Linked DNA regions of Lytechinus pictus. The protein of the gene in region 3 purifies or fractionates together with the protein of the main gene of each other region. This does not show direct contact. Links are inferred from orthologs where the notes say so. Each region holds a gene or a part of one and is shown on either strand. Other genes may lie near its edges. The genes, in order: structural maintenance of chromosomes protein 1A-like, structural maintenance of chromosomes protein 3-like and nipped-B-like protein A.

The links.
Region 1: the proteins of nipped-B-like protein A (region 3) and structural maintenance of chromosomes protein 1A-like purify together in Homo sapiens (affinity purification with mass spectrometry; 3 studies listed by BioGRID and IntAct, with this or other methods). This does not show direct contact. The link is inferred for Lytechinus pictus from reciprocal best matches to the Homo sapiens genes NIPBL and SMC1A.
Region 2: the proteins of nipped-B-like protein A (region 3) and structural maintenance of chromosomes protein 3-like purify together in Homo sapiens (affinity purification with western blotting; 4 studies listed by BioGRID, with this or other methods). This does not show direct contact. The link is inferred for Lytechinus pictus from reciprocal best matches to the Homo sapiens genes NIPBL and SMC3.

What each region holds. Positions count from the first base shown.
Region 1 is NC_087247.1:37,510,197-37,520,744, reverse strand, and holds the start of structural maintenance of chromosomes protein 1A-like, read left to right. Parts: upstream 1-5,522; 5' UTR 5,523-6,811; coding exon 6,812-7,053; intron 7,054-7,693; coding exon 7,694-7,814; intron 7,815-10,003; coding exon 10,004-10,240; intron 10,241-10,548. UniProt on the Homo sapiens protein: Involved in chromosome cohesion during cell cycle and in DNA repair. Central component of cohesin complex. The cohesin complex is required for the cohesion of sister chromatids after DNA replication.
Region 2 is NC_087256.1:20,111,849-20,122,743, forward strand, and holds the start of structural maintenance of chromosomes protein 3-like, read right to left. Parts: upstream 4,723-10,895; 5' UTR 4,578-4,722; intron 3,497-4,577; 5' UTR 3,425-3,496; coding exon 3,417-3,424; intron 2,711-3,416; coding exon 2,632-2,710; intron 2,039-2,631; coding exon 1,921-2,038; intron 1,122-1,920; coding exon 1,007-1,121; intron 270-1,006; coding exon 209-269; intron 1-208. UniProt on the Homo sapiens protein: Central component of cohesin, a complex required for chromosome cohesion during the cell cycle. The cohesin complex may form a large proteinaceous ring within which sister chromatids can be trapped.
Region 3 is NC_087255.1:30,315,195-30,325,665, forward strand, and holds the start of nipped-B-like protein A, read right to left. Parts: upstream 5,482-10,471; 5' UTR 5,333-5,481; intron 1,038-5,332; 5' UTR 1,017-1,037; coding exon 953-1,016; intron 564-952; coding exon 395-563; intron 1-394. UniProt on the Homo sapiens protein: Plays an important role in the loading of the cohesin complex on to DNA. Forms a heterodimeric complex (also known as cohesin loading complex) with MAU2/SCC4 which mediates the loading of the cohesin complex onto chromatin.

The DNA.
Region 1 (10,548 bases), on a different chromosome or scaffold from region 3:
ACCATGGCGCCGAGTGGGGAGCTTCTGGGATGTCCTCACTCGATGGCGTCTCGGGGTCTTCTCTCTCTGGTGTCTAGTCTGGATCTAATCTCTCAGCACCAGCTTGTGTACGTGCTGTGCAACGCACACACGTAGCAGGCGTAGGAGCATATAAAGGCTCCTCCAATCAGGAGCGCTCCTCGCATGCACACAGCACACACACAGACTTAATATACATGAACATAGATCAATACATAGACTAATACACAGACTAATACATATAGGGTACTACAGGTACATGGCAAATTTACTACACAGCCTTCAGATAAGCTGGACCCGCCCCTGTTGGAGCTGTGATTTTCCTCATTTCTTTCTCTGTCATCCTACTTGCATACTAGTAGGCATATTTTTATCACATATTTTTAGTAAAAGCCCTGATTTTAAATTGTGAGAAACACCTACTCGATTTTAAATCCTAGTAGATATCCTATAAATAAAAAGAAGAGAGAAAAAAAGACGTAGAAAAGAAAAAGAAAAAATAAAAAGGAAAAAGAACTAAATATTTGAATTTTACTTTATTCAATTACTTTTTTTTAAGAAAACAAACGTTAATAATATAATATATATGATGGCGAAAATATGATGTTGGTGACTGGTTGCCAAATAAAAATAAGAATCCCCTCCACCACACGCAACTAATCGCGCGTTTTGAGAACGCATGCTGTGATTGCGGTCATGCGTAGACAGACATGCAATGCATGTATGCACTAATAAGTTAGTGTATGCCCATAGAGATGTATACTAATATTACTCTATCTCTATGTATATGCCGTAGACCTGACTGCATTTGTATATACATAGACCTATTTAAAGTGATTTTCTGATCAAATTTTCTATCTGATTATGAAAAAGGCCAGAAATGAAAACTCACGGCCAAGATTTCTGTTTTACGGCCAGAATACGGCCAAATTTGTTTGGCCGTGAATTTTTTTTTTTTCACGGCCAAGCTACTTTTTTTACGGCCAGATTTCGGGAATCTGGCCGGAAAAAAGGCCAGTTGGCAACCCTGGTTGCAAGAAACTTGCGATCAATTGCAAGTCTATTTTCATTCCCGAAATCAAGCAAATGCGGTGCAATTAATTGCAAATTTGCGATTGATTGCTAATCTGCTCCATGAAACAAGGAGTGTAATCTGATTTTCTAAAGACAAAGTTAAAACTTAAAAGTGACCAATCAACTGTAAAATTGCAAAAGAATATTTGTGATTGATTGCAAATATTTTCTTGCAACACCCCATAAGACAGTTAGAGTTAGACAGAGCCCACTCACACTATTGCGAGGTTAGTTTATGCTATACGAACCTCGCACAACCAACATGTTTTTGTAGTGGATTTTAGAGTTGTCGTTAACATCGCTTCATAACGTGAATGATGTTAGCCGAAACCCATTCCGCTACTCACCAGGGCTTTTTCTGGTAGAAAGTGTTCCATTATCAATTTTTAACATTTTTTTATTTAAAAAGGACACAAAAAAGAGCAAAATCGCTTACCTCCGCCTGGAAAGTGGCTTCGCACGTCTCTTCCACGGAAATAAAAGGAAGGTCGTTGGTGGCGCTAATACAGTTCGCTACCTTAATTCAGCTTGGTGGTATTTTTGTCTCGCCTGCGTGGCGGAGCGAGACATAGGTATCACTATTTCCGGCGTCGTCGTCGTCAACAATTGTGTTGTACACCCAATAACTTTCTATAGCTTCGAGGTAGGATCACCAAATTCATACCAGAGGTCCATCTCCTGAAGGCACAGGTCAAATTCGAATATGAGTCGAATTTGATTAAGGTCAAAGGTCAATGAACTTTCCATGACTGGCACTGTACTATGTTGTACACCCAATAACTTTCTATAGCTTTGAGGTAGGATCACCAAAGTCATACAAGAGGTCCATCTCCTGAAGGCGCAGGTCAAGTTCGAATATGAGTCGAATTTGATGAAGGTCAAAGGTCAGTGAACTTTCCATGACTGGCACTGTGCTATGTTGTACACATAATAACTTTCTATATCTTCGAGGTGGGATCACCAAATTTATACCAGAGGTCCATCTCTTGAAGGCACAGGTCAAGTTCGAATATGAGTTGAATTTGAATAAGGTCAAAGGTCAAAAGTCAATGAACTTTCCATGACTGGCACTGTGCTGTGTTGTACACACAATAACTTTATATAGCTTCGAAGTGAGATCGCCAAATTCATAACAGAGGTCCATCTCCTGAAGGCACAGGTCAAGTTTGAATATGAGTCGAATTTGATTAAGGTCAAAGGTCAGTGAACTTTCCATGACTGGCACTGTGCTATGTTGTACACATAATAACTTTCTATATCTTCGAGGTGGGATCACCAAATTCATACCAGAGGTCCAACTCCTGAAGGCACAGGTCAAGTTCGAATATGAGTCGATTTTGAATAAGGTCAAAGGTCAATGAACTTTCCATGACTAGCACTGTGCTGTGTTGATCGCCAAATTCATAACAGAGGTCCATCTTTTGAAGGTGCAGGTCAAGTTCGAATATGAGTTGAATTTGATAAAGGTCAAAGGTCAATGAACTTTCCATGACTGGCACTGTGCTGTGTTGTACACATAATAACTTTTTATATCTTCGAGGTAGGATCGCCAAATTCATATAAGAGGTCCATCTCTTGAAGGTGCAGGTCAAGTTCGAATGTGAGTTGAATTTGATTAAGGTCAAAGGTCAATGAACTTTCCATGACTGGCACTGTGCTGTATTGTACACACAATAACTTTCTATAGCTTCGAGGTGGGATCGCCAAACTCGTAACAGAGGTCCATCTCTTGAAGTTGCAGCCTCAGAAGTCATATAGCATAGTTTTGACATGCAGTCTCTTCAGGACTGCAATATGCAGGCGAGACAACGCTTGGCGTTTGCCTTGTTTAAACTAGATTCATGATTCATTGTATGCGCAATTCCAATAATTGTTTGATAAAATAGAGACCCCAATAAATGCAATAACTTAAAAAAAGTACTTTTTTATTATTTTTGCTGACGATATTCAAAACGATGACAAATTAAACAAAAAATATAGAAAATTCTATGTACCTTGAACAAAGCCCCGCAAGTGCTACCGTTCGTTTGTCAATTAACGTTCCACCAAAGTCTTTACAGTAAAAAGATTGAACACTTTGCCGACTTCGCGTAACGCTTTGCATCGATTTACGTGTAAGATAATTTCTGTGTCTAGTCTTTCAATTGTAGTGTCTTTGATATGAAGATAAATCACGCGCCCTCTTTCGCTCATTAGACGAAAAATTTAAGAGCTAGAAAGGTAGCTCTCGTATTTTGTCAACGAGAAGAAAAATCAACGCTTAAATGACGCATTTTGAGGGATATTCATCGAATTATGAGGAATTGACTTCACATCGTTTCGTAAGTTTCGTAGGAGGACTTCATTCTGTAAGTCCTTGTATTAATTTTTCGTAAATTAACGTTATTTGTTGAATGCACCGTGCCTTCAATTATTCTGTAGTCGGCGGCTGAGATGTAGCCGTGGGTGGACAGAGCCAGGCCCAGGGTGAAAATTGAAATCAGTTTGTTTCTCTAGTCTTGACTTTAATTTTATCGAACCTCAGTCATACGCCTTTAATGCGTTAGTATAAATATGAAAAATGAGAGGTTTCGTACCACTGGTACCAGACCGATCTCGTGTAGATCCTTTGGCCTCGGGCAAGAGTTCCATATGATATGCACCCCCCACTAAAATTGAAAATAAAAACATGGAGAAGGCCAAAAAGGTTCAGAATAATATATCTAGACCTAAAATAGATCTAGAAGTTTATGATGGGGAGTGTAAATACCAAAATATGGCTTTATTCCGTCAAATTTCGAGCAGGATCTAGTGTGTGTAATTGTCCATAGACATTGATTTATTTAGTCAGTAAAATAAGGGTCTGTGAGTCAAGACTAGTCGAACTATCGGCTGATAATCGTTAAAATATACCCCTTCTGGTATCAGCGCTTCTCGCAAGCGTAGCGGAAAGAGGTCTTGACTGCAGATAAAACGAGGTGAGTTCAAGTCCCAACTAAGGTAAGCAACAGTAAAAAAATGACAGAAAAATCTGAAGTGAACGAACCGGAAGTCTCAACAATCTTTTGTTATTTTTGGTGGGGGGTGCATATGGAACTCTTTCCATCCCTCGATCCATTCGTGAACACCGCAAATACAAATAGGCATGACCCTACCCTTGGCCTTGAACTGCTTCGTTATGAGTATGACCAGTACTCAGTAGAGGCGCTAGTCAGAAAATTGGGATCGTCCCGGTTTACAGGGACTGTCAGTTTTCAAAGATTTCTCCACACAAGAAATCTAGGAAAGTTCATTCTCCTGTCAAGTGCCGACCCCAATTAAATGGGCTAGTCAATGTAAACATATCAGGTTTCATAACAAGATTATTGGAAGATGGCAAGTTGTGAAAAATAGACGGTGAACTGGAGGGTTATTGAGGTCACTGAATCTATTTTTAGCATTCTCAACGCCGTAATTGCCGTTTATGTCCTGCAGGGTTAAGTGAAAAAAAAAACTCCCCATATCAAGGACAATCTCAATTTATCAAGACATGATTTGTCTTGGTTTATGAGGATATCTTTGTTTTCTAGGACAATCCCAAATTTTGGACCAGCGCCTCTACTGACATGACTGATGACGTAGCTTCGATAAGCGATGTTACAAAATGCCGTTTCATAGATCAATTTATAGATAAAAATTATTATTCAACCAATAGTTCTAGACCATAATAAATTTTGAAACTTGATTATAAATAGATCTAATTATTATTGTAGTAGTAATTATTTATAATCAAGTTTTAAATTTTATTTGTTAAATCATAATTTTTATCTATAAATTGATCTTCAAAACGCACAGTGGCAAATTGTCCATAGACTGTGTACAACGGATAGACAGTCTCTGCACAGCGATTCGGAGACTGCTGATTGGTCAATCGCGCAGATCATGTCATGACTACATGGTCGCCAAAATAATTCCTTCAGACTGCATGCGAAAGTATCGATAGCGATAACGATATCCGGTCACATTGTCTATGCGGGAAATGGTCTTGGTTCGTGATCAGATCGCTCCAGTATCGATCGAAAATTATCGAGACTTCAGCAGGTATGTTAATGTATCACATGCATGCAAGTCCCCCGCGAGTGCGGGTCCCTGTAGTTGTGGGGAGGGAGTTTAAGTAATTTTTGTCCGATATTTGGGGGTTTTACTCTAGATCTAGTCGTAATGCATTTGTATGGCACTCGCAGTAATACACAAGTCAAATGCACACAACTATGACGACAAGGCTTGTTGGTGCTCTCTCACTCTTTTATACCTTTATACCGGATCTACTGGAAAAATACAGTTGTTTCTGCAGACAAGTTTCCAGGTCAATCTTGTATGTTGTCTTCCTATCTAGGGTATTAAATTTCTCATTCTGTGTCCTGTAACATGCAGTGAAAAGGGTCACTGTTCCCATGGGTGGTCATAATGCAACGAAGACCAAACCTTGTCTTGTCTTGGGTTAAAGGGGAATCCAGCCTTGGCCATAAAATGTTGTGTTAGGAAGGAGAAAAATAAATTAAACAGAAGGGTGAAAGTTTGAAAGAAATCGGACAAGCAATAAGAAAGTTATAGCTGCTTTAAATTGAGATCACCAATACTATGTAGATTTCAAATTGGCAACTGGGTAAGTAAATTATGACAGGGGGCAAGGACAACTTTCCCATAGGCCATGTACTTTATGATCAGGGATTTGCGGTTTTCTCCTAAGTACCCATTCCCCTGGGGCAGTAATCTAAATATAACCCAGGTAGTATATTGTTTTATGTCCTCATGGAAGAAAAATATAATTTGAAATAAAACTTTTGGGGAAAATGACATTTTAGCCATAATATGTATTGGAGTACGTGGAAGAGTAGTCCTTGCCTTACATCACTCTGACATCCCATATGCGGCCAGTTTGAAGCCTCCATGGGTAAAGTGATTACCAATATTTACAACTTTTAAAAATTCATAACTTTCTTGTTTGTCCAATATTGTTCAAACTTTCACCTATCAACTTGTCTGATTTTTCTTTTCCTTATAAAAACAAGTTTTTATTTGGGTTGGATTCCCCTTTAAGTCGGCATATGCAGACTTGCTGTACTCTGCCAACTTCATTGATGAGTGTGAGATCACCGAGTCTTGAAGCTATTGACCGTTGATGCTGTAACTACTTCAGATGGCAAAGAATTCCAGTCATTGACCCCTCTGACACTGAAAGTTTTCTGTCTCGTATTCAGTATATTCCTTTCCATAAACAGCTTGTATAGATGGCCACTCGTTGCTTGAGTGATAGCTGATGTGAAGAATAGATCTCTATTCACATCATCAATGCCATGAATGTCCCTCCTTTGTCCCTTCTGGTAGTGGTAGCTGGTTGAAAGGATTTTAATTGGTTAAATGAATTGGTGAGAGTGCTATGAAACAGCCTTTCTCATTTGAAATTGCATCATAAATATGTGTGCCTTTAGGATATAAAGTAAAAAAAAAATTGTTCTCAGAATACAAATTTGGAGAGAATTTATGGATATTATTTATTTCACTGATTTCAACAATCTAGATAAACAAAATATTTTATCTTGAGATAAAATGCATCAACGAATACCACCCCTGTGCATTTACTTGTATCTTGAAGATAATCTTCCTGATTGCAAGTGTAAATATCAAATAGTAATTGCAAGTTTAAATTTCATATACCCGGTAGTAAATTAAGATCCCTTAAATATTGAATATTTCTCCTATGCTTGCAAATTGTAGATATACTAAACTTGCATTCTTGAATGTTGATTGTAATTTTGCAGGAAAGTCCAACTTGATGGATGCCATCAGTTTTGTACTGGGAGAGAAAACATCCAATCTTCGTGTTAAACGACTTTCTGAGCTGATTCATGGAGCTCCTATTGGCAAACCAGCATCTAATCGGGCTACAGTCTCAGCAATCTATTCTGAAGAAGATGGTAGCGAGACACAGTTTACCCGGATGTAAATCAATTTTCATTCTGTTTGTTTACAATTAGGGAAAAAAACATTTTTGGTGCCCTTCATGATCCCTAGCCAAAGGGGATGTTGCATCTTGCAGAAAAACTTGTTTGCAGTTTTCAATGTGAAATTTATTGTAGTTTATGTCCATATTCCACAGCAAAACAAATGTTCTGATGTTTGCAAGTTGGAAAAAGTGAAAAATCATATTACAGTTTTAGGCAAATAGTAGTAGCATAGTGTGGGGGGGGGGGTTAAAGTGGAAATATAGCTTGTAAATTTATCAATCTTTATGGGTGATAGTGGTATAGCAAAATCAGTTCTTTTTTTTTCTTTTCTCTTTTTGCATCAGTAAACCAGCATTCAATTCCAAAATTTCAAGTAAAACTTGTGATGATTGATTTTGAGTCAAGATTTGCAATCAATAGATGTAGGAAGATAGAAGAGCCACTTGACATTCTTTGTCAGAAATGGTAGTTCTGTGGATTTCCTTGATTTGTTGTCAAATTGCTTGTTTAATTTGCTTCAAGTATTGTTACAAGCTTTGATGCAATTCATAGACAGTTAGAAGCGTTCAGAAAATGTGTCATGGTTTATTCATGAAAAGTTGATTGTGTTGCAATTTTATTTGACTGCCATTCAGAATCATGGGAGCTTCTTCAGAATACAGGATTGATAATAAAGTGGTTAGTGCAGCACAGTATGCAGAAGCCTTGGAGAAGATTGGTATCCTTGTCAAAGCTAGGAACTTTCTAGTGTTCCAGGTAAGGGAAAATGAAATTTTTTATAATTTGAAAACAGTTACCAGTATTAATTTGATATTTTTGTGAGATGTGAAACTAGCCACAATGATTACATGTATGTCCCAGCAATGATCACTTATCACACCTGATATGTATTTTAAACTTTCTTAAGATCAAATGCCAGGTCCCTATTGCAAATTTTCTATTAATTATAAGTTCACCAATCAATGTTAACCACCACAGTGACGTTTCTCAACAACAAATAAAAATCGAGGATAGAAATGATTGTTGCTGTGGGTGGCAAGTTTAAAAATCTATATGCCAAGTATTGTCACAGCGCCCCCATTGGTAGAGTCCATGTTATCATCGTGATTGTGAGATTATTTAGGTATACGTATGATAAATCAATCTACAGGATTTGGTTATCGTGGCTGTTATCCTTGCTATCTCTTGATTTATCTCTCATGTTATTGGTCCCTCCATGGTCGCCAAAAATGTCACTTGTTTGTTGCCTGGTTTTGAATTTAGGATCAATTTATTGATAAATATGTTGGATAACACACGACCAATAACATGAGAAATGGTAAAAGCATGAAGTATATATTTCCACTGTTTAATTCAATATTCTCACAATGGCAGCTTATTAAGCATGCAATAAGCATCTAATATTTCATCCGACCATTTAAGACTGATTTTGTTTGTTTAAATTTGAGTGGACACCTACTGAAGAAATCAATCAATCATTGCATGTAGTAAACAAATCATGATAAGAGTTCTCCCTTGTTTGTTTGAATAAGAAAGGAGTTTTTGAATTATCTATAACATTCTATCGATTTCGGATAAGTCCTACTTTCTTTCGATGAAAGTGGATGACCAATTCCAACACCTCTACACTTTGACGAACGAAAACTTCTCGAGTTGATGGTCTTAGTGAAAGTGATAGGTAATCATCAGGAACGCAGCGTCATTCCTCAATATCATTCATGTTGTTGACGGCAAGTCCGTCAAAGACCCAATTACATTGAAATTAGGTATAGCTATTGCAACAAATGTACAGTCAGGCACAGAGCCGGTGTCCTATTTCTTGACAGACACGGGACTCTCTCTTAGCCCAGCTAAGCGGTAGACCAAAACTGCAAGGATATCTTGGTGATTCCGGTCCTTGTTGCTGAATCATGGCGTGTTTGGCAGTCATGAAGGATTTTAGGATTTGCCAGCCTGTAATTGCTAGTGTTGAATCTCTTAAAGCCCTCTTAACACCAGTCTCAACATTTAGGACACATTAGCAACATCTCTCACACACAAGGAGGTGAACATAACCTACCCCAACCAAGGTTGAAATATGATCTGCCTAGGGTATCTAGCTCACAATGCTCCCTCCAACACACACCTCAATTTCTACCAATAATCTCACTGCCTGTCCCTATCAACAAGCAGCAGAAAACAATTTAATTGCATTCATCTTTTTTTTTTTGGGGGGGGCCTCATTTTGTGTCAGTTCTGTGCAGTGTAGCAGAAAAGAGGAGGATTAAGCAAAAAAAGAATAGTGTGCAAGCTCCTAACAATGCAGCAGCCCTTTTTGTGTTCAGGAATGTATGCAGTTGGTTAAACATATGCACTAAAAGTATAAGACTAAGACAGAATAAATGTCTTCACTAGTCCTGAAAAAAAAAAATGTCCAAGGTGACAATTTACATAATGCATTGTTGTTTATGTTTTATTCATAAAATGTAAATGCTTTAATACTAATATAGATAAGTTAAGATGAAGTGAAAGTACTATCAAGCATGTTATGCTTTCCCTTTTATATATTGTTCTTTTTTTTCATACCTGTACAGTACTCACTCTTTTATCAGCTTTAGCTGTTATGTAAGCACCCACTGGATAAGGTCAAATGTCTTTGTTGACTACAGTAATTCAGTTAACTTTATTTGACCCTGGCAGTCTAGTGGGTGCTCAATCTATACTCTTATGTTCATTATGTGTTGTAATACAGTGTACCAATTTGATATACTTTTCATTGCCGAAATAAAATAATAATAAGTTACCATGGTCATAAAGTTAGCCATCAGTTCCCTAATGCATTGCGACATAAGATTATGATTCATGAAGTATGTGGGGCTTGTTAAAACTGTTCTGTAGTTACATTATGGATAATTGTTACTAATGCTCCTTCTGATGTGTATTATTTGTATACATAATTGTCATAGGGTGCTGTTGAGTCAATTGCCATGAAGAATCCCAAGGAGCGAACTGCCCTCTTTGAAGAAATCAGTCGCTCTGGTGAACTACGGGAAGAGTACGAGCAACGTAAGGCTAATATGATCAAAGCAGAGGAAGACACACAGTTCAACTACCATAAGAAGAAGGGTATCGCTGCTGAACGCAAGGAAGCTAAACTTGAAAAAGAAGAAGCAGAGAGATACCAGAAACTCAAAGAAGAATTGGTAGGTTTCATATAAGGCTTTTCATTTATGTTTACTTTGATGTAAACAAATCAAGAATGGACATAGCACTAACCAGCAACAATTGGGACTTGAGAGCAAATTAGATCCCTTAGGCCCGTACTCTGAAGTCGGGTCTAACTTAAAATCAGGTTTGAAGTTGTGGTTTGAGTATGGATAGCCAATTGTTACATAAATCACTAACAGTACAGAGATCATATTTTAGCTCATTTTGCTCTCAAATCATTCATAATTGTCTAGGAACTATAAATAGATGATTGTCTTCACCATCGATGAATCAGGAAAGAGCA
Region 2 (10,895 bases), on a different chromosome or scaffold from region 3:
GAGAGAATGATGTTATCTACAGTTGCATAGCTCAACTTCACTACATTTACACATAATATTTTATGACTTATGCTAATTTATACATCCAATTAGAAGTTGGTTGTAAATCTATTTCAAAAAGCCCTAGAACAGTTTTTTTTTTTTCAGAGAGACTGTGCATATTTGGTACTTTTCTGAGGCATATTTATGATAAACATCAATGACTTACATCTTCAAGTTTCTTCCTTGTGTCCATGAGTTCCTGGTTGTGAATAGTATACTCAAGGGATCTAAAGAAAATAAAACACAAAGTTTTTTTCAATAGTGTACTTTAAGCCTATTTCTAGCAAGAGGTGGATGTTGCCATTCAAATTCATTACTACATTATATAAAAGTATAATGTCCTAAAACAGTTAAGGTGTGAATGATAAGATTATAAAACCTTACCTTTTATTGGGTAAATTTTGCAATTTTGCATGAACGTTTTGATTGGGTGTCCGATAAAGTAAAATATCCCTGTATTTTCTTTTTTAATAAAAACCATTCTCAAGCATGGAATGGGCTAAAAAAATTCAGGACATGATTCTATTATCCAATTAATAATTTAATATAATAAGTGATAAAAGGGTAATTTTAAAGCAAAGTAAAAACATTATCGAGAGAGGGTGCTAGAAACATTAATTATCAAATTTCAAATTTGCACTTTAACAGAATCAGCCATTGGAAGATTGCAAGATTGAAATGTTATATATTAGAGTATACATGGCCATTTCAGCCACTGAGCTGCACCTTCTGTTTTTAGTGAGCCTTGGATTGACTCTCAATTCACATTATTGGCCCTTTACCAAAGCTCTATATAGGCTTAAAAGGGTCTAAGAAAATGAAATATGACTTGTGCTGATGAGCTTGTTTTAATGGAATACTGGAATAAATAAAACATGATAAAACTGGAATGCCTTGGTCTTATTCCTACATGATACCCTTCTTCAATAAACCCTTCTAATTATATCCCATTTCTCATACCAACCTCCTCATCTTATCCCATTTCTGATACTGCTTGAGTTCTTCCTTCTCTTCCTCCAGTGTCTGTAGTCTTTCCTCAATGTACTTCAACAAATCTTGAATCTTTTCTCTTTTACCCTCTGAAAAAGTGTAATATAATAATAAGTCATATGATCAGGGTCTTAAAATAAAAGGTTTCTCTTTACACACGACTTAACATGTTACTAAACTAGGGCTGACTGCTGTCCATATGGGAAAGGAAAAAAAATTCTCCAAAAGTTGCTGGAAATTTGCATTTCATAATCATATCTATATAAATCCATGAAATAACCATCTACTATCAAAATCAATTTGAAATATTTGTATTTAGTTGGAAACAACCAAGAAAATTTTGAATATTCCTTTCTTTAAGGACTATGACAGAAGGATTCAATTGACGTCACACTAGATCTAGGCGAGACAAAACCTGAGTTTTATTTCTCAACAATTCACATTATCTTCCTATAACTTTGAATATGTTATGTCAAACCATATACAAACAAAACTAAGAATAATTTTGCTGACTTTTGTTTGTGTTGAGCCGGGTGATCACAAATGTATATATTATCATCATTGCTATTATTTAAACACCAAACAGAGTACAATAGAATGATGAAATATGGCTTGACAAAATAAAAAGGCTTCCTCCACTGCAGGTCCCAATAGGCTAGTCCCAAATGTGGTCTAGAGAAAGAAGAAATTAAAAATTGTCTTTTCTTCTATGGGTTAGTCAGCGGTGATGTTTAAACATGATAGAATCTAATTTATAAAAAAAAACATTAGCATGCTAATGAGAATAAATAGCAGAAAATTTGAACCAAATAACAAGAGGGTATGTGATCCGTTTCATTATAAAAGGAGATGCATATGCTGAAAGGATGATATAAAAGAGTAGCAAACCTGTTTCTTTGAGAATTGTTTGACTCTCTGCCTTTCTTTCATCATAGACTCTGGTACCAGCCACTTCTCTCAATAGTTTAAGACGCTGAGAATCTGGGGCCGTAGCCATCTGGTTAATCTGCCATGACAAACATTCCAGTATGCAAATGGTTTAAATAGAATACCTAGGCCTAAGTCATTACATGGTTGGTTACAGTTAACCAGCAGGGTAATAAAAAAAATAAGAACTACCCCAAAAAGTGGTTGAAATTTCACATTTCACATCTTTACATCCATGGAATGTTCATCTATTTTCTATATTTCCTTGAAAGTGATTTAGTTGGAAACTATCAAGAAAATGGAGAATATTCCTTCTTCCTTGACTCTGAAGATTGTTTTCAGTTGATGTCACACTCTATCTACTACATAAAAATCTACACATGGGACTACAATATATAATAAAAATTGTAGTCCCATGCCAGTTAATAACTACTCTTTTCAACTTATGTGATAAGAAATGAGGATCTGAGATAACACCATCTCTAACTTACTTATCGATAGTAATAAAGAGGCAAAGTATAATGGTAACAGCACTCACCATAGATTTGCCCCAGTACAAATTTCATATTTATAACTCATTTTACATGTACATCTGATTTGTTTAATATACTCGTTTTATTTCATTCATATTTATTCAGATTATTTTGCTGTTTGACAAATAAAATTCCATACCTTTCCTTGTTTGACCACGTAATAAGGATTACTCCTGGAAAATCCTGCACTCTCCAGCAAATTCATTACATCAGTTTTTCTGTAGTCAATAAAAGATATAGAAGCCACATTATTGAAAAAAATATATTTCAAAAGGACACATATATACAAGGGTCTTCTTTAAAGGAACCCAACGGTTGAAAAAAAAAACAGATGCAAGATCAAAAATTAAATGCGACATAATTATTTATAAACAACAAATAATAGAAGTCTGAGACTCTGAGTTATGGAGACTAAGTTGTACCAAGCAATCAAAAGATTGAATTGTACAACACAAAATGGATGCATACTAGCAATGGTTGACTGGTGTTATAGGGATCCTTATGAAATGACTAGCTAAGAGCTAATCATGTGATATGCATCAGTTTTACTGTTACAACAACCATGCATTTTTTTTCCAAGGAAAGTTGATTTGCACATGGGTGCTTCTCGCCCCTGATTGTGTAGGGACATAAACGCGGTGCCTAGTGGGCTGGAAAGGCTTGCTAGCTAAGTCAACTCATTTGGAGGAGTTACTCAACTGTGATGTCACAAAATCAAAACAAAATTCATAACTGATATTCTTTGACATATTTCCATCCAACCTTCACCATTATTTTTTTTTCTTTTTTTCTGCCTTAAATAGACCAACTTGTCAACAGGGTGAATTTCCCATAAGTCTGCAACTCACCTACCACCAATGTGGCTTAAGCAATATAAACTTGACCTCTTGTTACTACTCTTTACTAAAAATGGTATCAACTTACGTGACCATTTTCTTGTCCAAGAAATACTGATCTTTCTTAGATCCAATGACACGACGCAAGGTCACCTCTTCTTTTTCAATCTGTAAAAATAGTTATGATCATGTATATATGAGAAGTGAATCCAGGGTCCCCGTCTTACAAAGAGTTACGATTGATCCGATCAATCGCAACTATGGACGACCAGCAACGTCAACATCTATTATGCATAACAATTTTGTTGAACTTTGGTTCACAACACAAAAAACAGAAAATAACGGATCTTTTACCAACACAGATGAACTTTCATAATCGTATCTAATATGCATGTTTCTTCAAAATATTTTCTAGCGATGATGTATAATCATGCAATCATTGTTTTCTTGAAAATTCACTGCGCTTCTCTTCGCATACAAACGACATTGTGCAAATTTTTCGTAGAAAAAAATTATGACACTGATGGATTTCCATCGAGTGATTGATTGGATCAATCGCAACTCTTTGTAAGACGGGGCCCAGGTCAGTGATGTATCCTCGACACAACCTTTATCAAGGGCAAGTCCAAGCTAACAAAACATTGATTGAATAAAAAGACACAATCCAAACAACTATAATGGTGAAAATACCATCGGAATCACATGTAAGATAAGAAATTTCCTAACATTTTAAAATTTTGCGTATTCTTCATTAAACATCTTTTTTTTTTTCATGTGATTCATGAAACATTTATATGAGCAACAAGGTGATATGCAAATATGAGTCAGTGATGTCACTCACTCGCTACATCTTTTGCATTGTACTGTATGGATTGTACAATAATTCAATATCTGCAAATTTTACAATAAGGTTTCTATTCATCAAATCACAAGTCGTAAGATGTCAGCACTTTTCAATGCCTTTTTTGTAAATCCCCAGGAAATTTCCCTAAAGAAAAAGTATATGTTTGACTTGTTCATATGGCTAGAATAAACGATTTTGATACTGATGGGTGCACTCTCATTTGATTGGGGACGAGCTAAAAACACATAGCCAAAAAGACATAAAGTGTGGGAGAAATGACAGATGAGACAAGACAAAATTATTTGAAATAAGGACAAAAAAAAAAAGAGCTCTGTATTCTTTGAATTTATTGCCGAAATCTGGCTACCCCTGAAAAAATTTGCTAGCCCACAAGTGTATACTTACAGGAATCCTGTTGTCGCTGTTCTCAAAGATGATCTCGACAAAGGCAGAAATGACCCTTGGACCAGTACCTTCATGCAGTAAACCCTGACGCTGCTCAGGACGTAGATTGTTGAACTCGTCGCTGAGAACAAACTGGATGGCTATAGATAAAAAAATAATAAAAATTCATATTAGCACTACCTGGAGAAAAGGAAGGCAACTCAATAAGCCAGTTCACGGTTAGCTCATGATCAACTTTTCTCAAATGACCTTTGTGAATTTTCATTAGGATAAGCACTATCATTTTCAAATGTAGATATTGCGTAAGCTTTACCGGTAGGGTATTCAAATTCTAGGAACAAAAGGCATTGTATAGACCAGGTGACTAGAATAGTACATCAGGGATAAAGTTTGGAAATCTGTTTTATTGTCTGCCTTTGGCACATTTGACTATTGTTTAGGCTACTGTCAAATACCAGTGATTATGAAGGCTCTATTTAATTACTCTTCAGCTTGGATGTGATAAAATGAATATTTTGAAAGGAATACATGAATAATCATCAAATCACAAATGCCTATGTCGGTGAATTTGAAAGCCACCTTCATGGTTTATCTCAAATGACCTTTTTCTGCTCGTGCACAGTTTACAACCGTGAACAGGCTTATTCATGCTAAAAAATTAAAAACAACATTGAACAAGTCAAATGTGAAAAATTGTAACTGGACTAATCTGCCGTACTTACTATATCAGGTAGTTCGGTTCGGGGGCTAATCTAGCCGATATTTGTAGTGCTTTATTTGTCACAACAGGGAATAATTTCTACTGGTTTTGCACCGCAATTTGCTCCACATTCTTTGAAGACTGTTAGTAATCAGAGTTGCCAAGTTGTATTTTGCATTTTCAGTATTCTTATCCCCAAAAATCAGTATTTTGACCAAAAAAAATCAGTATTTTTACCGTGTGAGATGAATATTTTGTATTTTTCCCAAAAAAAGTGCATTTCATAATAAAATGCTTGGCGCACTCGCCCATCACGACGCTCAAGCTGCATGCAAGGTAAAATGCGCACTGCTTTTGCAGATGAAAAAAAAAACATTGAAACTTGTGTATATCTCACCCTGGTTTTTACAAAATGATTGAAAAAAAAAACAAGTTACCTGGAATTACATTGATCTAATAACCATATTTGTGTACGTTTTATGAAATAGAGACATATAGAGATGATTTTTCCCAATAAATTACGATTTTGTAATAAAAAACTGCCGTATTTTGGTTGCAAAAATGTACTAAATACGGCTAAAACGTACTGGTTGGCAGGTCTGAGTAATGCACATGTTTGTTTTTTTGTGCAGCAGACTTTTAAATAAGACTAAAAAGAACTTAGTCGGGAGCTTTTCTCTAATGATAAAAAAATGCTAATCGAATATGGGAAGAGAAATTATCCCCTGCACTATTCCCATGAAAGATGGATAGCAACCTTTGTATGCCTAAATCTCACTTTCCATAAATCCAGTATTTGGGAAGGTTACATTCACAATACCTACCCGCTAATTGATTAAGCAGCAAGTACAGTGTATGAATTATTTTTTATTCATCTATTACATTACTAGTGCATAGTTTCATAGTCAAGATAGAGCTCCAAACTATTGTCATATATGGAGAAAAGAATAATAAAAATATATTCTGTACATTGGAATGAGAGCCCTCAACACTAACTGTCATGTGGCCATGCTACAGCAGCGCTGTACATGGCTATGCTCAGTGTGTGTGCATAACAGAGAGGTCTCTAATACCTCGATGCATACACACACTTAGCCCTAAACCTACTGGGGAAGCAGACCTGCCAACCTCTGGGAATGAAAAATTGTACCGGTATTCTGTGATTAAAAAAATGTATTTTTCCCCAAAAAAGTGTATTTCATAATAAAATGTGTGGCGCACTCGCTCATCGCGGCGCTCAAGCTGCATGAAAGCTAAAATGCGCACTGCTCTTGCAGATGAAAAAAAACAACATTGAAACATGTGTATATCTCACCCTGGTTTTAACAAAATGATTGAAAAAAAAAACAAGTTATCTGAAATTACATTAATCTAATAACAATATTTGTGTAAGTTTTATGAAATAGAGACATATAGAGATGATTTTTCTCAATAAATTACGATTTTGTAAAAAAAAAAAAAATAAAAAAAAACGTACTTAAAGGGATTGTTTCACTTTGTGAGCAATTAAAAAAATTATCATATTGCTTTTTGAAAATGGTATGAACATTTGACTAACAGCTCAAAAATACCCATGTGAAAGTTTGGGATCATAACATGTTCGGGAAGTGTTTTTAAAAACTGAAAATCTGAGGCAATGTTTGAAGAGAAAAATGCACTTCTCGACGGTTGATTCATGATTCTGTTTCCAATTTAAATCGATATTATATAGCGCCACCTTGTGATGTATGCAAGAAAGTAGGCGGAGCTTACCACGGGGAATTTCGCTTCTTGCGTGATCTGTGGGCGAAGTTAGTTTGTTTTGGGTTTTTTCTGTGTCTCCGCTCGGTGTGTGCGATACGCGATCGATGCATGTGCGTTATTGCCTGTGTGAAAGGGTGTAGCTGTGTGTGTCGCTTGTGGGGGAATATCATAGGTCCATGATCATACTGTCAAACTGTGTCGAACTCGTGAATGTCCATTCCGTCTGTTGTCTGTACATTTGAATATGCTACATGTATGCCTCATAATGAACTTTGTAGACTTACAGACCATGGGATTTTGATGAATTTATATTTTGGCGACGTAAATTAGTAGCAAATAAAACGACTACAACAGAAAAGAACGCGACAAACCGGGGCTACAAATACAATCTCGGATCTACAGTGTAGAGTAATAGTAGTTTTTTTTTGTGGATCATGGGGGCCGGGGATGGAGCGTGATTTTCCAGAAGCTATATTGTGCCCCCCCCCAAAAAAAAAAAAAAAAATCCCCTCTGTTCTTTTCTTTAGTTTACCTTTGCATGCACTACAAGATATATCCTTGTGGTTGTTGATAATTCTCTTTTACCTGGTCACGATATAGCAAACGTCCGTCGACTGATTCGAGAAGAGAATGCAATATAGCTCCATCCCGGAGCTCCATGTAATGCACTATCATGGAGCTGTAATATGTATCCGAACTCCACTCTGGCCATGTTACGTCCACGTAGTCACAGGCCTTCGTGTGTCATGTGCATGTTTACATGCACGGGGCATAGCTGGGTAGGAACTCGGAATAAAGGCAGTGACCTCTCCTTCTCCCCCCCCCCCCTGGCATGGAAACATCCACCATCGTGGTTTTTTTTTTTTTTGTGGGTGTGTGTGTGTGTTTTTACGTTCTCCACGAGCTCCCCCAACAAAGATATTCCCATCCCGGATTTCCCGTCCCATCAAAATCTTCGGTAGGCCTATCTTCACGTAAGATGCTTATGAGAAACTCCCGGGGAGAAACTATATGATCAACATGATCAACGTATTGCCCCCCCCCCCTCCGATCGATCGGGGCCTATCCGTTTTGGACTTTATTTTGGAACGTGGTAGATAGGGTAGTTGCAAACCCAAAACATCTCAACTCCTAGACCCCGGACTATAATGACTATTAGACCTACAAATTATTATCCATAAACTTTGTTGGTTTTTTCATTTTTTTTATTTGAATGGTTTTTTTGTAAGGGGTAGGAATCGTATTTAATTTTATCCATGATTGGGGTCAATAATTCTTTCAGTTTCTCCGCCATATAATCCGCTCATGACATCTTTCAAATCATATCACTTTTCTTTTACATTTTCCATTTCTTTCGGCCGCTCTTTTCTTTTCTTCTGCTTCCCCTCTCTCGATCCTCCTTCCGTAAATTCTTTACAGTAAAAAAGAAGTCTGATTTTTTTTACACATCCCTGATTACTATATGAACCTTACGTGAAAATAGTGTTTTGTGTTCTTTTCTAGCTCGTTTACCTGAAAACCTGTAAATTGGTTATTGATTTTCTTCATACAATTTATATGAAACCTCAGCGTATATGAAGCATCCTTTACCTTCGATCTGGTATTGTTTATATTGGTTGGTTATATTCACGATTAAAAAAAATGCATAAATATAAACAAAATAGCATTACATAATCAAATAATTAAAAAAAAACCAATATAACAAATTAACAATATAACAGTAATGAAGCTTACAATGCATGTAATACAGAATCGTAGGTATAGACCCGTTTCAGATTGGCTATTGATAGCCAACCTGTTCTTCCCCGGGGTCCCTAAAAATAAATAAATTAAATTAGCATTACAATATGAAAATTTCTAATAAATACAAGTATAACAAATCAATATAAAACAAATGTAAAATAATATATCCTCATGATATCATTCATTTGGGGAAAATAATGAAAAATGAAATAGTGTAATTAGTCACACGTTATCAATCACGAAAGTTCCCTTTTCTGCTCGATCCAATCACTGAAACATTCAAATTCCATGGAACAATTAGTCATACATCATCACCACAACTATCACATAACAATACACTTAAATTCGTGTATTTTAAAACAAATTCTTGTGAATGAGCATTATTGTATTATTATATTAAAAGGCCGTCTCTAACAGGGTATGACCCCCCCCCCCTTCCCATGTCGGGGTAAGGGGGAGAGGGGGAAAATAGAAGTGAGGATGGGGAAGAAGAGAAAGAAGAAAAGTGGAAGGAAAGAAAAAAAATGAAAAGAAAAGAGGCTGTCGGACTGACGCCTACCGGAAAAATGATATAACTGTTGGGTCACGAAGGAATGTTCCATTACTCCGTGTATATATATGCTATACCAACAGTGATTAGAATATACTGTCACACAGGGCGGTTCTAATTAATTGCTTCATGTTCCGAGAGAGATTTGAATGTATATAGGTTTTAGGTCTAAATCGCCTTACAATCAAGCCCATTCTTTTTTACGTACAGTGATTAAAATTGCCCGGCCATATGTCCCAGTCGCCAAAATTGTTAGCTCGCGCTTCGCGCTCGCATCATTCAGACTGTTCCATTATCATCTTCACAAGTTTCTTACGTGTTGGGCAGCGCTTTTAAGATATTCACTTTTATGTCAGTAAATTTAGTTCGCGCTACAAACAGCTTGTTCTTTATTGTTTTACAACGTCCAGTCATGATCAATTATATATAAAAAAATATATATTGTTGAGCATGATATACCCTTCGTATTCATTATTACAAGAAGTGCAAAAGGAATGTCTAGTTTTTATGTCTACATGTAAAAAATAGCTTATTGTGCTTCGCGCTTGCAATTATTGTTTACTGAGGTACATATAATTTGATATTTACATTAAAAAAACCTGCTTAGAATGTCCAGTTGTCGGGCCATAATAATATTCAGCTCGCGCTATTCGCTCGCATTGTTTAATTTAATGTCCACCATGTCCACAGTGGCGTATCTAGAACAAACGAGGCCCGGGCAAGTGCTAAAATCGCACCCCTTTCAAAATATAGGTCTATTGTGTATATACTCTGCACTCGACCAGTCAAAATAAAACATAATATTCTAGTCCGGGGTTTTTTATCATGAAAATGATGCGTATCTAACGAAAACAACGTATGCGAGCGCTAAGCACGTGCCTATTATTTTCAGTATTAAGATCTTAAAAAGGAATATTCTAAGCACTTTTTGTAATAATTAACATGATGCATATCCAGACAATGAACGCATTCGCGAAGCGCGAGCCGAAAATTATTGATATTGAGACCTACAATCGGGACATATCGATGCTTGTCTAATTAAGCATTTCATGCAAGCACGAGGGGCGAGCTGAAAAATTAATATTGAGGGGAAATCTTAATAATAATGATGATAATGATAATAATTATAATGATAATAATAACAATAATAATAATAATAATAATATTGGTGGCTTCTTATATAGCGCACGCGTCCACCTTTCGGTGCTCATGGCGCTTGTAGAAAAATAAACACAACACCCAACAACAATAGAAAACGAAAAAGAATAGAATTTGAATTCTCCTGAATGTTAATGGGAGATCAAAATTTTGTTTTCACTGGGACTTGAATGTTTCTGTTGATGAAAATTTGGCGTAATTGGATAGGCAATCGATTCCATAGCTTTGGTCCTATAACAGAGAATGCATCCCCCCATTTGTGTTTGGTTCTGGGTGTCTGGAGCAATAGAGCATCAGAATGATGAGCGGAGACTGCGTGAAGGCTGATATTTTGAGATAGAGCTGCGGAGATATGTGGGGGAAGAGAGAATAAATTGAATAATAGTAAAATAATTTTGAAGGAGATTCTTTTATCAACAGGCAG
Region 3 (10,471 bases):
AACAAAAGGTCCAAAACAAAAAATTACATAAGAAATTTAGAAAACAAGAAAGTAAATGTGATATTGAAATTTGTTTAAAGTACATTTGATCCGATTCTTATAAAGAGTCTGAACCAAAAATTAGCATTTTATGGGCATCACTTAGTTAATTAGAGCAAACTTTTGATTTAACGCATAAATTAGCATAATTTATTAGCAAAGAGATTTTTTCGCAGAATTTGAGCTTAGTTTTGTAGATTATATTATACCATTGGTAACGCGTGTGCCAATTTTCGTCGAAATCATGACTGACGGCCGAGATCATGGCGTCTTAGGCATCTATTTAGGGTTAAATAAAGATAAACTGTAATTGTAATAATGGAAGGTTGTTTTAAAATCTTGAAATAGAGCTTACATGTGATCAGTATCTGTCTGGCTAAGGACATGAAGGAGTTGAGGAATCAGGTTTTCATCCTGCCTCCCTAGCAATCGCTGGGCTTCTTCTGCTATTTGGGGTGTGTAGAGAAGGCCTTTGCTGTTGATTGCACTAGGAAGGGGCGAGGGCAGGGGCAACTCTGTCAACACTGTACACAAGAGAAACAAACAACAAAATCATATCGTAATTTCCACAACCCCCAAGATCCTGGAAAATGTAAGAAACATATGAATATAAAAAAAATAAAAAAAGGAGTCAGGGTTTGTTGAAATTGATCAGAAGAAAAAGGTCCCATTAATAACATAATAAAATTCATATTGAGTCATTTCTTTTAAAGTGTAACTGTAACCTGTTCAACAAGTCAGAAGCAAGATACGTAAATAAGTTAAGCTGCTCCAAATTGATCAAAAAAATCTTGGGTACCGATTTCATATCGACATGTCCGAATCTCTCTAATCTGATATTAAATTCTTTACATTAATTCTTTTAAACTTATATAAAATTTTAATATTGAAGTGGTAAAAATAAGTGACTTACAGTCTGTGAGACTTGCTATTCCTGCAAGAGTTGTAATGGGAACACTTGGCACTTCTCCATTCATTCTGATGATAGGGGTTTACAACTGCAAAATAGAATAAATATGAGAAATCAACTACCAGTAATATGCAGTCCTTCACGTTTAGAAATTCGTGGAGCTCTAAAAATCGCTCTACTTATTTTTTTGAGGAGCTCAATTGAGCTCCTCAGAATCGCTCTCCTTGAGGAGCTCAAATCAATTCAATACAATACATGTATGGTATGATAAATTGTAGATTTTTCTTAACATCGTATATGCAATAGCTGTGTAGCTATTAATTAATCTGTGGTGAAACTAGGCCTGGGTCAATACTTTTACAAAATATCACGCTCCTGCTAAAAAAAAAATTTAAAAAATTTAAAAAATTTCACATTTTACATTTTTGAATCCATGAAATGGCCATCTATTTTCCATAATTCCTCAAAATTATTTTGATTTAGTTGAAAACTATCAAAAAAATGAAGAAATATTCACCTCTTTCCTGATTCTGATTTGAACTTACCTCGGTAAATATTGTAGTCCCACATGTAGACTTCCATGGTGTTCATGGCAACACCATGGAAGTCTACATGTGGGACTACAATATTTACCGAGTTTAAATTCAAATCAGAGTCGGGAAAGAGGTGAATATTCTTCATTTTTCTGATAGTTTTCAACTAAATCAAAATAATTTCAAGGAATTATGGAAAATAGATGGCCATTTCATGGATTTAAAGATGTAAAATCAATGTGAAATTTTAGCAGGAGCGCAATTTTTTGCTCTCCTTATTTTTTTTTAGGAGCGCCGGCGCGATCGCGCTCCTCAAAAATGAAGGTCTGAATATGCATATTTATTCGATCTAAATTAGATAATGGTTAAGCAATGTGATTGGGGATCTTGCATCAAAGATCTAAAAAAATCTTAGACTTCAACTCATACATGTCTGGAATAGGAGGAGGAGGGATACTACGAAAAGTCAACAAAACATACAAAAGAAAATCTGATGTTTACATGTACAAGTGTAGATCAGAGGTTATTGTGCATTGCGACCATTGTCATGTGTCTCACTGTATGTTTCTAACACACAATATTTTTGTTTCCTTGAATTATCAATTTTTTTATCACTGCAACAATGCAGCTACAAAAACATAGGCCGTATTCTGATGTCAGGTTTAACTTAGGCCACGGTCTAACTCTGTGCTAAAATTTTGAGAGCCAAAAACTAAAAAATTCTGTTTACATTGTATATTTTATATGTTTACTGTTTTGTTTCCATTTGCTTTTATAATAAAGAAAATTACTTCAGTTATCATTCCCAGCAGTTACGAATGATTTGAGTGTCATGTGAGTTAATAAATTGAATGAGTACTAATAGAGATTTGTGCCCCAAATGGCTCTCCAGAGTTAAACCACAACTTAAAACCAAGGCTCCGTAACACAAAGATTAGAGATCAATCGCTAAATGAACTGACCAATCAATATCAATGTTACACACGCATTTGGTTTAAAATACTGACCAGGGACCAAGCGGTGCGGTTCTTTCATATTTGCAATTCATCGCAAACCTTTGTGTTACAGAGCCCTGGTCAGAATACGGAATATAGTGTTTAGCATGAGATATTTACACCATTAAGTTGCTACTTTAAGTATTTACCCATCAACTTTGAAATTCAGATATTATTATTGACCCAGCACGTTGAGGATGGAAAAACCAATCCTCATACATAATTTTTTTTTAAATCTTGTGTAGACAGTTTTAAATTTGAGCTATAAACAAAGGACTCTGATCTGGTGAACTTATTATAATGAAAACCATTATAATGAAAACCTACAACTTATATTGCACTTTTTGGAGACATTTTTTTGTAACGTTTGGTAAGTAAATAATTATTATTTACAGATTTCTATATAAAAATTATTGATAGTCACAATTAAAATCGGCATTTGCGCAGCTGAAATAAGTTATTTTCTCAACAATCAAGCAATTATTTTGGGGTTTAGAGCGCGATTTAAATCACCAAAATTGATCGTGGGGCACAACTTTACGTGCCCGATATTTGGAAATAGTTTCCGATATTTGGCAAAAAACAAGCTTCTGGTAGTAAGTAAATAATTTCCTTTTACCATATTTTTTTCAATTCTATTTTTTTATGACATTAATACCGGTATTCAACATTCGTACTACAGAAATACACATGATTTTTATTTGATTCAATGATTGTATTTTTTGTTTTGGTCCAATTATGCTTAAGTGTCCGATATTTGGGCACTTTACTCTAAGTTAATTGGGACACAAAATATTAACAATATTTAGAGTCTAGATCTAGAGTAACACTCCGCCTCCTGAGAATTGAAGACCCTTCCAAAGTTGGGCTTTATCCACTCGCGCACCGGAGAAATGCTGCATCTCTCTGTTCCTAAACCATCCCTTGAGTTGTCTGGAATTCTCCCCCCCTTGGCCCCCAGTGTCCGTTTGACGCACTCTACTGCAGCTGCCCACCCCTACAGAGTCACTGTCCCAAAGTCAAATACTTCTCTTCACCAATCTTCATATATTCCAAGGACGGCTCGGCTGTGGAATTCACTCCCGTCCAACACATTTCCTTTAGTTCCCAACATGGATAGATTTAAGAATAGTGTTGATACATGCCCTAAATTCGACATGCGCCGAGATTCAACATGGCAAACCCATTTCACAAGCCAGCACAAACACCAAAACACACACCAAACACATTTTTATATATGGTAAGGTGCCCCTTGTCTGCGCACATGTGTATCTGTGCGATTCTAATAAAATAAGATATGCAATGACCACAAAATTTACACCTGAAATACATAGACAGATATTCATTTTAAAAATCTGACTCAAAATGGTGGAAAAATAATGAATTTTGGGCATTTCATGTGACGGCCTCAAAATGCAGCCTTACTTATCAAAATCATTGAATCGTGTGTAAAGTGAATGGGTGCGCAGACAAGCAAGGGGCACGTCACCATTGTTTTGTTCGATCTGAAAATGACCGTCCATGACTTTTTCCAAGAAAATCATATATTTCTTTCAAATTTTCACGAGATTTTTGGCACACTTACTCATAAAAATATATTATAGGGAACATCAACTGAAAACTTTTGTGGAATAAAACTCAATTCATGTCTAAACTTATTCTTAAGTTAGGGTTTTAGGTACGCAGACATGGGGCTTCATACATGGCACTATCACTTACCACCAGAAAGTCCTGATTTTCACTAAAAATCCTCTTTAAAAAGTCAAAATTTCCCCCAAAAATGCAGAATATGCGCCATATATCCAGAGCACGCAGCGGCTTAGCTCCATCAGATTTAAGCAGGGTCGCCCACAAATGTGCCAAAAATGAAGAAATTATTGGTTCTGTTCAGAGTACGATAACTTTCTTGCAAATTTAGGATCGTATATTCAAAATTTCCAATCAAAAAAGAGAAAAATTCAACACTAAAAAGCATTGAATTTGCAAAAAAATCGACTCAAGACATGCTTGAAGGTCGGTTTCATTTGACAGGGGCCCTGAACGCAATGCGGGAGCGAATGATTGCCGCAACTTCCGAGTTGCACATCGTCGCATGCGGTGCAATTCAGCGACTCTCGCACGCATTGACTTGAACGTGCAATGCACTAGTACGTCTGCGTGTACACGTATGTCGAACGAGGGGCAGGGGATGCCGGATGTTGAATCTTGGCCGTGAAACATGATTGATATTATGATAATGATACATTCCAAGATTTTATGAATTATTTATTGAGCTGGAATTTGAAAATGAACATTGCAATTAGTTAGGCTACCATATATTTAACAAACACGACATTGGTGCAAAACTGCAAATAGAGATCTAACGTAGTACTAGATTCTATCTGTTTTTTGTGAAAAGAAATTTTATTTAGGGCCTAGGGGCCTACAATAAATACAAAAATTTAGTCTTTTTAAAATTTTAGAACAGAAAATATTGCAGAAAAGCTGTAGGCTAGGCCTAGTGTTAAATAACAATAATCTTGGCTGTGCATGTTACAAATACAAGTCTACCGACTCTGACTAACAGTAACATCACTGCAGAGCAGTAAAACAAAAACCCTTTTGTTTAAGCCCTCGATTCTGAATTGCACAGTCACTACGGAGTACGGGCACGTCGTCGTAGACAGATGCAGCCCCTTCTTCCCCCGTCTCCGGCATACGCCGGGCTACGCACCTATTGAATTCCCGCACAATATGCACAGTGTGTGCGGCGGCCAGTATAACAATAATTTAGTGAATGGCACCCAAGCGAAACACACGACAATAACACACTTCTCAAAAACAAACGTGAAAATCATACTCCGTTTATAACTTACATGAATCTTAAGGAACCATGAGGTTTCATGGAAGAATGAAAAATGACAGTGAATATGTCATAAATCTACCGGTTTTCCGTAATTTTTATCATGACTAGACGCGCCAAAACAACAAAACCGCATCACTTACTTGTAACATTAATGTTATTGGGTACTAAATAGTAGTGCGCGCATAACTTTTTTGATAAATTGAACGAATGCCCTTTTCTATAATTAATGTAATATAAGATAGCATGATGCATTGAAATAAATTTTTTCTCTGTGTGCTTAAATTCCCTTTTCTGATCTTTGATTACATTTTTGGTCACTAACTACTTTTTAATAAAAGTGCACGAATATTCAAAATGGCGATGTCTATCAATTTTACTTCCGACACTATCGCAGTATCGTCTGCCGTACATTGCGCGAATGCCATTCATTATAAAGGTCAAAGTTTAAATGGATATTTACATCCGGTGGTCGTTCCACGTGCAGCGTAGCTAGCTGGGACAAAACTGTTGTGTGTCGGCCTAGGCTAAGGCTAAGTAAAATACTTTTTACTTCTCGGTTTTTCTCATTTTTTTAGAGGGGACACCGAGATTCTATGTTGAATTAATACCGAGAGGCAGATGGATCGATCAGAGCTCCGTAAGCAAGTCTACAAATACCGGTACCGGGTATATTATTACAGAGCTCAGCCTATCCTGACCAGGCCCTGACTCCACTCTCCAGGCAGCGCGGCGGTAGCTGATGTGATTGCTGCCTGTTGTAGCCCACCAGTCGTAGAGGAATTGCCCGCTAGTTCAGCGTGAGTTTGCATGGGCCTAACCCAGAGACCTCCCGCCCGCGCAGCGGGCGGGAGCCCAGAAGCTTACCGTGTATTTGACCATATTCACCGGACTAGGGTGATTTATGGTCTAAATATTTCTCCAAATGAATTGTGAAAACAGAAAGTATACAATTACCACGATTATATGGATGAAAGTCTAACGAGTGGCAGTTTCCTGACATCTGGGAACAGACTGGAACCTCAAAAAAACGAAAAGTTCTCTCCTTCTACCCCCGTTTCGATCGGCCATTTTTGTTAAAAATCGTAACAAAATGGCCGATCGAGACTGGGGTAGAGGAGAGAACTTTTCGTTTTTTTGAGGTTCCAGTCTGTGCCCAGATGTCAGGAAACTGCCACTCGTTAGACCTGTGTGTGAATGACAACAAAAATCCGTATCAAAACAAAAGTAGACGGTGAATTTTTAAAGTAGATGGTGAAAAGGGGTAATTTTTCATGAGGAATCTGCTTATCACATTTTTATTTGCCGCCAAGGTAATCCTTTTGCAGCAAATGTAAACAAAGGGAATTGGTCTCCCAAACTGGAGACTGTCTCTGATATTGGATACCCAAATTCTTTACAAAAGTCTCTGATATCAGAGATAATCTCCCACATTGGAGACAGTCTCCAATATTGGCCGTGCGCCTCTACTGACCAGTGGCAGTCGGGCATGCAACTGGAAATCCTATCTGGAACCAGTTGAGTAACTGGAAATGACTTCCAACTGGAACCAGTTTGGTAACTGGAGATCCTAACTGGAACCAGTTGGGTAACTGGAAATGTCTTCCAACTGGAAATGACTTCTAACTGGAACCAGAAGGGTAACTGGAAATCCTATCTGGAATCAGTTGAGTAACTGGAAATGTCTTCCAACTGGAAATGACTTCTAACTAACTGGAACCAATTGAGTAACTGGAAATCCTAACTGGGACCAGTTGGGTAACTGGAAATGACTTTTAATTGGAACCAGTTGGATAACTGGAACCAATTGGATAACTGGAAATGACTACCAATTGGTTTCCATTTGGAACATTTTCCAGAATTTTACCCAACTGGATCGTCCAATTGAAACCAGTTGATTTGCATATTATCTGCCAATATGTACAGATTAATATTTTATGTGATTTATCATCATTTACAATGTATCTATTCATTTCTTTTCAATCTCAAGTACGTGCCACACTTTTTGAGATAAATGTTTAGAATACTTGCAGTGAAAACCATGTTCATAAATATAGATTATAATTACAATAGGTTAAAATAGTACACCACTAACTGTTACCAAAATACATCAAATAAAACATATTTGAAGATCTTCCATATAAATATATACATATGAAAGTCTGTATTTTAATTTTTATCAATGCCCTTTACATTGGTATTAATAGACATATAACACTGCTTCAGTGTTGGCATGAGCAATAGTTAGTGCAAATGCTAATTAATTTGTAACTAATTAAGTTAATTCCAATTGGATCCAGTTGGAAACCAATTGGTTTCAACTGGTTCCAGTTGCCTCCTATTGGTTTCAACTGGAACCAATTGAAACCAGTTGCCTCCAATTGGATTCAACTGGTTTTAATAGGGAAATTGGAACAACTGGAACAAATTGAAACCGATTGCCAACTGGTTCCAGTTGCTCAATTGGTTTTAACTGGAACCAATTGGCAACTAGCTGGTTTCAATTGGAACCAGTAGTTCCAATTTCCATATTGAAACCAGTTGGCCAACTAGTTTCAATTGGTTTTGCTCTAATTGGTTTTAACTGGATTTTGGTCCTGGGAGTTGTTCCAATTTCCCTGGTTTCAATAGGGAAATTGGTACAACTCCCAGGACCAAAATCCAGTTGAAACCAATTAGAGCAAAACCAATTGCCAACTGGTTCCAGTTGCTCAATTGGCAACTAGCTGGTTTCAATTGGAACCAGTTGTTCCAATTTCCATATTGAAACCAGTTGGCCAACTGGTTTCAATTGGTTTTGCTCTAATTGGTTTCAACTGGATTTTGGTCCTGGGTGGCTACAAATTAAGTGCAAATTAACACACAGCACCACCCTCCCAAAGTCTTATTCTTAAAGCTAGGAAACCAACTGAAAACCCAAGAAGAGAAGCAATCTTATTGGAAAGAGTAAAATGAGAGGAACAATAAAAAAAAAGGTTTCATCAAAATTGTTTATGAAATAAGCAAGTTATGGACGTTTAAAAAGTCCTGTATTTTCTATGGGGACCCTCAAATTGGCAAACGTGCTTCAAAATGGCTGATTTTGTGGACAACTCTCCATTTTGTTTCGTACACAAATTTTCAGATTTTCCTCATCTAATATCTTTCAAATTGCATCTTGCCTCCTGAGCACATCATTTGTCATGGGAAAATATAAGTCACATCACATATGTCAAGATCAGGAGGAGATAATGTGAAAATATGTAAAATAATTAAAGGGGAAAATCTGAGAATTAAATGCGGAGGTGTCAACAAAATCAACCATTTTGAAGCACGTTTGCCAATTTGAGGACCTCCATAGAAGTACAACAAGACTTTCGAACGTCCATAACTTGCTTATTTCATAACAGGTTTTGATGAAACTTTTTTAATTTGCTTCTCATTTTACTCTTTCCAATAAGATTGCTTCTCTTGGGTTTCGGTTTCCTACAGTATAACATCATCATGATCATTACCTAGGCTATGATAACAAAATTAATCACATCTTGACTTGACATTTCATTTTTTGTCTGGCATGGCCTTGCCCTTGGCCCAAATTAAGCATGGCTTGGCTGAGGTGAGGGCATGAAGCTGCTTTTATATTGATTTTGCTGAATGAAGTTCGACACAGACCTAGTGGGCCGTACCCCTGTGAATTGTAATCACTTTTCCTGTTGCTGCAGCATGGTTAGTCTGGTTTTGTAAGAAAAAAGTTTTTGTTCAACTTGCTCTTTAAAAAAATTTAAATTCTGCATCAAGTTGTTCCCCAAACTTGTCGTCTGCGCAGTCCCCCTTATGTGCACACACGTGTGTCTGCGCAATTCTAGTTGAAGAAGATATGCAACAAACACAAACTTTACACATGCAATACATATATTCATTAAAAAATCTGATTCAAAATGGTTGAAAAATAAAGAATTTGAAACAGAGATTTTGTGAAATAAGATATTCATGTTAAATCTTAACTCAAATCGTTAGGTGCGCAGACTTGGGGACCACTATCATACTTGGTAGTTATGATTTTGGTAGATGTGACTGTGAGCCCATGGTGAGAATGATGGGGTCAAAAGGTCAAATAATATGATGGCATGTCCATCGATCCCCTTTAAGTTTTTGTTCAACTTGTTCTAATTTCTTTATATCTGCATCAATTTTTATCACACTTGCCTGGGTCAAATGGTTTGTTGGCTTGGCCTTGGGTAATATCACATATATATGTTTGTTGCCAAGGATGATGGGGTCAAAAGGTCAAATAATATGATGGCATGTCCATCGATCCCCTTTAAGTTTTTGTTCAACTTGTTCTAATTTCTTTATTTCTGCATCAATTTTTATCACACTTGCCTGGGTCAAATGGTTTGTTGGCTTGGCCTTGGGTAATATCACATATATATGTTTGTTGCCAAGGATGATGGGGTCAGAGGTCATCAAAAGGTCAAGTTTTTGTTCAAATTTATATAATTTCTTTATTTCTGCATCAATATAGTGTTTACACTTGGTACAAATGATCTTTGGGTATTAATTACCATTTGTGTGTGTTAATTGTTGAGGATGAACGGGGTCACAAGGTCAAGATTTTGCTCAACTTGCTCTCATTTTTTTTATTTCACCAATTATGATCACACTTGTACAAATTGCCAATACCACATGTGTGGTCATGAGGATGATTGGGTCAAAGGTCATCTATGGGTCAAATGATATGAGGTCATGTCCATTTTTTCAAGTTTTTGTTCAACTTGCTCTCATTTCTTTATTTCTGTATCAATTGTGTTTACACTTGGTAGTTGATCCTTGGGTAATACTACGTGTGTGTTCATGAGGATGATAAGGTTAAAGGTCATCTTGGGTCAGAAGGTCATATTGCATTGATCACAAAATCAGGCGAGACTGGTGGTTCGTGAACCGCCTTGTGTGAATTTTATCCATCTATTTTTATTCACCAAGACACCAGGGGCGGTATTCTGAAAACGTTCTTATCTTAATTTTGTTCTTATCTACGTCACAATCTCAAATTGGTATTCTGAAAACGTTGTTATCTTTTTCTTATCTTTTGTTCTTATCTTTTTCTTATCTTGCTAAATATCCTATGCTGAGCGCGTAAATGTATTACTCGTGCATATAATACAAAAGCGCG